Linked DNA regions of Xenopus tropicalis. The protein of the gene in region 1 binds, or shares a complex with, the protein of each later gene. Links are inferred from orthologs where the notes say so. Each region holds a gene or a part of one and is shown on either strand. Other genes may lie near its edges.

Evidence for each region. Proteins that work in one complex are often made in the same cells at the same time.
Region 2: tent4b (region 1) and zcchc7 share a complex: the UniProt entries of both Homo sapiens proteins name them as parts of the nucleolar TRAMP-like complex. The link is inferred for Xenopus tropicalis from reciprocal best matches to the Homo sapiens genes TENT4B and ZCCHC7.

The regions. Positions count from the first base shown.
Region 1 is NC_030680.2:43,944,704-43,948,929, forward strand, and holds the start of tent4b (terminal nucleotidyltransferase 4B), read right to left. Parts: upstream 2,930-4,226; 5' UTR 2,338-2,929; coding exon 1,874-2,337; intron 1-1,873. UniProt on the Homo sapiens protein: Terminal nucleotidyltransferase that catalyzes preferentially the transfer of ATP and GTP on RNA 3' poly(A) tail creating a heterogeneous 3' poly(A) tail leading to mRNAs stabilization by protecting mRNAs from active deadenylation.
Region 2 is NC_030677.2:109,180,947-109,183,565, forward strand, and holds the end of zcchc7 (zinc finger CCHC domain-containing protein 7), read right to left. Parts: coding exon 2,226-2,619; 3' UTR 579-2,225; downstream 1-578.

The DNA.
Region 1 (4,226 bases):
ATGGCATAATAAAGAAGTGCTACTTTGAAAAAAGCAAACATCTGTGCTAAAAGACATGGGTTGAAAAAGGATGAATAAAATGGAATCAGTCGCCAATGTTTAGATAATAAATAACCTTCATAGCAAACACATCAAATGAATTTGGAAAGGCCCATTATTTAAGATATTAGAAATTTTAAAGGACAAGGAAAGTTATAACCTATTTAACTGGAAATATCAAATTTCCAATAGTATAGGGCATACCATTTTATTCTATCCTCTCTCACATTTAGCTTCCTCTATAGAAAAGTTCTTCTGATCGAGCAGCAGGGTGAGATCACCATTCACTCCATGGTTAATCCCCCAGGAGATCAGCAAAAGGTATCAAATGATATTTTTAAAAGTATAGATCTCAAGAAGAAACACAAGCGGTTTGAGTTGGATTCACTAATACCTTTTGCTGATGGGAAAATAAAGATTAAAAAAATATTGCTTTTTTGATAAATTTGTGTGAGACCTGTACAACTTTTGTTTACTTAAAATCTCTGTATAGCGGACAAGTAAGAATGGGATTAAAACTTAAAAAAAAAAAGTTATTTTGTTCAGTATTATGCTAAAAGAGGCTTTACTGTCTTTGAAAAAAATTAAAGTAAAAGGAAAGGTACAATCGCTGGGGGATGTTAGGCACTACTCCCCCCCCCCCCCCCCCCCCATCATGCAGGCTCAGGCCAGGATTCAAAGTAGGCCGTGGCATATAAAATGCAAAGAAGCCAATACAGCCAACCCAGCAGCTCACTAAATAGTGACTGTCTATGGCATCTTACAGCAGCCCCTCTGGCATTTGCCAGAACCCACAAATTGCCAGGCCTGCCCCAGTGATTAGAATCATTTACCTGATAACCCAGGTTGGTGTTCTGCACTGGTCCAGAGTACCTGTGAGTAAGCAATCCACATACTTCTTCTTTTGCCCTGCTTGTGCATGCGCAGTAGAATGAAAAGTAGAACTTAAAAAAAAAAAAAAAAAAGCCTTTTCACGCCACTGCACGTACATTGGCCCCAGGACCACGAAGATGGAGGCAAAACTTGCTTGCAGGTACCTGGGCCAATGCAGTTTAATAATAACAGGAGTACCGGCCAAGAGCACCAGGTTTGGCATCACACGGATTCTAGGGGTACGTACAAAACTTTTTTTTCTTCAAAAATAGGTATGCTTTACATGGTTAAAAAGTTTAATTCGATTATGTCCTTTATTTCACGACAGATAAAAAATTAATAGTACAACAACTGAAATAACTCAAACTTAACATTATTTCAACAGTGACTATGGCCAGCAGATTTCCACTTAAACAGTTATGTCATTAATGGACATTAAAAAGCTTTCTATGATAAGCCCTCCCCCATATTTAGAGGCCACAACTTGCATAACCAGTGTCCACCACAAGGGGAGGCTACCTATAGAAAGTTTATTATCTGTAAACATACATATGTATGCTATATATACACACATATCACTTTAGGTTCATCCTGTACAGGACATTGCTATAATTTAAATATCTCGTTTGGATTATACACTAACTACTCTGATAGCATTAGTATCCTATAGGTAGCAGTGTTGGCTAAGCTAGAGATAAGTGGAAGAGAAGAGAAATTAGTGCCTTTACAGAGATCAAGGCAGTTATGATAGATACACTATGTATACCAGGACAGGAGTTTAAATGATTTGTTCAGGGTCACAATGTGTTTGTGTCACTAGCATCAGAACCAACATTAAAGGCAGATTATGTAACACAATTCCTCTTTTTCATTTCCCTAATCCAAAAGTACAAAATTAAACAACCGTATAAGTCTGAGAACAACATTAAATGTACAGAGGGGCACACATTTTGATACTCACCCTATGACCTCTTCACTATATGTTCGTGTTTTCCATGGAGTCCCGTTGTACAGCCCCACCACACTGCTCCCAGCTGAACATTGGAGAAGGCAGTTGAGTCCGAAAGTACTTGCCTTGTTATCCCGTTTTCTCTTATTCCTGTTTATATGGTCATGTCCTTTCCCCCACGCCCCAGGGCTCTGGCTCAGCAGTTGGTTGTTGTTATTATTGGTGGTCTCTATTGGGATGTAATCTCTTTGCTCCCCCAAGGACTGGTTGTTCTGAGCTGTTCCGCTGTCCCTGTACATTGTGTTGGTCTCACAGATCGAGGAGCTGCTGGAAGATGCGCTATGTGTGGGGGAGGCCGGACTATTATGGTTAAAGTAGAGGTTCCTCAATCCTTGCGTGGTCTCCCAGATCTGCATCCACAGGCTGTTGGAGGGGCCTAGCTGCTCTGGCTGAAACCAGGCGATCCGAGGATCCATCAAATGGAACCTGCCCCCCCCCCCCCCAAACTACCACCCCTGGGGCAGTTACCCTCTCTGTAATGCCTCTTACCCCAGCCCTAACAAACGTGAGTCCCTTCTACTCCCGAAATACAGCTACTCTGTGCAAAGTCCAAAATCACCAAACACTTCAACCCGATGGCTTCCTGCCTTTCCGGTCTTGGTACAAATGCCCTGCTTTAACACGCCCCTCCTGGTCCCCTATAGGGTTACCTAACCGCAAAGTTCTCCTTTATGGGCACTTCTCTCAATTAAAGGCCGTGGTGTACACTCTCACAACCGTTTTTCTCCAAACTGTTCGAAACCGCTTCGCATTCAGACAGCACCCTCCTCTCCAACTAATGCCTACGACTACAGGTTACCCCAGACCTGTACTCTTTTAATACTATCTCCCCATTCACCGTGCGTCGTGGGCTTTAAGATCCGTCTTCATACGGTAGTCCCCATGCCAAGCCTGATCTCTGCCACTGTCACACCGGGCACAACAATGGCGGCTCTTCCCTCTAACTACTTACTGCACATGCTCCAATCTTCAATTTCGGCCCAACCCACAAAAGGCGGGCCAATCTAAAGGTAGCTGAGCGCTACATTGTTCCGCCTCCTAATCAATAAGCCCCACATAGAAGCTTAACCAACAGGCGGGGCAAAAGAAAAGGCAACCGTAATCAGATTCTTCTAGGCTTTGATCTGATACTTATAGGCTAAGGATAAAGTTTGTTTCATTTTTCACATTAACTGTACTCATAGTTAACAATATCCAACCGAACAACGGGATTGCATACACCGTATAAATAGTACTATGCAATGCCGTGGATTTTTAGTTGCTGACTAAAAAGACCGGCAACTGAGCTGAAATGTTACGGTAAAACTGTAACCAATGCTGGAATGTAGATATTTATCGGCATTGTTTTCTCATAATGTTAACATTTCTCCTTTGCATCTTTGTTTCTCTAAATAAATGGTTGCCATTGTACTTGACTTGGGAAACATGCTGCAATAAATGTACAGTCTTACTATGTGCAAATATTGTTGGGTCCAAAGGACCAAGCTGTGTTTACAAGTGGTAGCTATATACATGGCCTGACCTCAGGGCCACCATCAGAAATCACGGGGCCCCTCCCTCAGGGCTACTCCCACAATGGCCCCTCCCATCAGTGTGCCCCCAATACATTTGTGCCCAGGGCCCGCCCTTACAATGCTGGCCAGTGTGCCCCCCAAAGACAGGGGCCCCAATTGCCCCCATACACAGGGCCCCCCTAAATCTATGCTGGCCAATTCCCCCCAAAGACAGGGCCTCCAATCGCCCCCATACACAGGGCCCCCCTAACTCTATGCTGGCCAATTCTCCCCAAAGACAGGGCCCCCAATTGCCCCCATATACAGGGCCCCCCCTAACTCTATGCCCCCAAAAGACAGTGCCCCCCGTTAGACAGTGCCTCCTCCAGGGTCTTTCTCCTCTGGCGGCGGCTCCAGCGATACTTCCCGAACAACTCCTTCTCACTTGTGTCTCCACGGGAAAGAAGACAGGCCCTTTTATAAAGTTGCGCCCCATGTGTACTGACGTCACACGTACGCACGGGACGCGACCAATCGGATTCAAGTATTGATGACAGGGCCCGTAATAGATTAAAGGGGGCCGAGCTAGTCAAAAAACTGTAGCACAGCCGGGCCCCCTTTAAAAGTAAAGAACGCCCAGGCCCGGGATGACTATCCCCCCTGTGCCCCCCTGATGGCAGCCCTGCCTGACCTACACAGTATTTAACTGTGAGCTATAGTTAACATAGGAGCAGCTGTAAATGCAGGGGTGCTCCTGCAATGAGGCAAGCTGAGAAACTTGCCTCAGAGGTCATGCCCACAGGTTACCAGAG
Region 2 (2,619 bases), on another chromosome or scaffold:
TTTGAAGTGGGTGCAGTTTAAAAAAGGGGAGTGGTCAAAACCAACTTCCATTATGGGCCTTCCACTATGTAGGCCACAAAAATTCTGGCCCTTGATACTACAGCACTGATCTAGAACATATCTGTCCAAGTGGACTGTGGGCTGGACTTGAACCCAAAAAACTCCAGCTAAGGGCTGTATTAAACACTTTATATGGCATTCATTTAACAGAAAAACCCTTTAATTAATTCAGTTGGACAGCACTGATCTAGATTATGAATAAATAACCTTTAGAACTTAGTACTAGTATGGGATCTGGAAACCCATTATCCAGAAAGTTATGAATTATAGGAAGGCCATCTCCCATAGACTCCATTGTATACTTAATCCCAACTAATATATAATTAATTCTTATTGGAGGTAAAATAATCCTACTGGGTTCAATTAATGTTTATATGATTAGACAAGGTATGAAGATCCAAATGACTGAATAACCAGTTATCAGGAAAACCCCAAGTCCCATACCTGTACAGTGATTCTTTATTCAGTAAGTGACTGGACAATCCACCTTGCTCACTTTACACAAACTTTCTAAAGAGTTGCACATGGAAGATTTTATTTATTTCTTGAGATACAATTAATTGCATTGCTTTAATATCAACATGAAATATAATGTGTGGCCATTTTAAGTGTTAGGGACTAATAATCTCCTCAAGACTCAAATGTTTAACATCTGCAATACAATTTGTATTATTTCAATGGCACAAACAATGTAAGGAGGTGTTTTGAAGACAAGTATCTGCAGGATGAAAACAACACAGAAAACCAATAAAAAATCTGCATACTTATTTGGGGTGTACTTAAAGGTTACGCAAGCCTTTTGACTTTAAAATCCCCCAAAATACTCACAAAAGCTCCCAGAAGAACATACCTTTTCTCCCAGCAGATTTTGTATCACTAACAGCTCAACTTCAGCTCTCTTAGCTACTTCCTAGTCTATTGTGAAGCTCCGCCCCTTTGCTTCTCTGAGCTTTCCTGCTCTGTCTGACTGTAAACAGTCAAAACGGTGTCTGCCGTGCATGCTTGCTGCCTCTGCTTCAATAAAAAGCAATCAGGCACGCACAGTAGGCACCTATCTAACCATCATGCTCAAAGAGACAAGGAGAGCTCAGAAAAGAAAAGGGGGCAGAGCTTCATTGTAGACCAGGAAGTAGCTGAAATGAGCTGCAATTTTCAACTTGTAATTTAGAAATGACATGAAACTGAATGCAGGGAGAAAAGATGTTATTCAGGGCACTATTCAGAGCAATTTTAGAGATTAAAAAAAGGCTTACGTATTCTTTTAAGTTCATTTACTTATTCTTTAAATTTCCCTTTAAGAACCAAAGATGATTTTTAACCTCAAAAAGCTAGACCTAGGTAAATGTATGCAAAACCAACAACTATCTGCACCTTTCTAAAGCATAGTATGTAAAGAAACAGGTCATGATGAATCTAAGAATATAGGAATACACAGAACTTGGCCCCCTTGGCACTTGTATCCCTAAATCTAACTGCTAAAATAAGTATTTGTTTTAAACGTTCTAAAGTACATAAGGTTACAGTACATACGGTATATAAAAATACTGAACAAATTTTCCTGGGACCATATAAATGTTTCCCAATTATACCATTCTCTTTTAAAGGGACAGATGAATTGATCCTTCAAAAGAGCTCACTGATACACACTGAAAAATGTTCCTATCAGAACCGGATGTATTTGAATGTACAGATACTGTACAGTTTTCAGCAGCTTAGCCGTATTTGCCACTCTACTGAAACCACCTTATAAGCACATCTAAAGCAAAACTGTGATTAGGTGAAGTTTGGCAAGAAAAGAAAAGAAATTCTTCCTTGCTACTGAAACCAAACCCGTACAATGAGTTGTAAAACAATGTATGTTATGTGTGTATTTGTGAATGAATAGAGAAGCAGCATATACACTGTAAAACACTGAGTCCCTTATTATAAGGTGGTTGCTCGTAGTACAATATTAAGAATCCATACCCATATATAAAATACATTAATAAAAAATTTATATAGTTTCTTTAAATTATCAGCTCAAAGGCTTGTTATATGTGATATTAACTTAGATCTGGAGAAACAGGGATCTCCACAATATGTTGTGTTCCTGCAGATTATGGTTCCAGTATATGGAAGGTATTATAATATCCAATTACATCTGTTCATGCAGTGCTGCTTTGTGACTAGTCAACCCTTTTCTTTGAATTCTTTTTCTTCTGTTTAATTATGAGCAAGTCCTGGTCAACAGCACAACTGTCTCCCTTTTTGCCCTTATGTTTCTTCCTCCAGCCTTTTTTAAGCAAATTTTTCTTGTCTTCCTTGAACAGGTTGCTGCCATCATGCTTCTTTGAAGATTTTTTATACTTTAAGTAATCATTGGGGCGTCCACGGGGGAAATCCTCCTCTGTTTCTTGAAGGCCAGATCTTTTTTTCTTACGCTTCTTCGTTTGCTTTGTCTCTGCACATTCTTCATCCATGAGGGTACCCTGCTTCTTTTTTTTACTAGGACGTTTCTTTTTCCTTCTCTTGGCAGGTGGCTTAGCATCTTCCTTGCTTTCGTTGTATTCCCCTATCTCC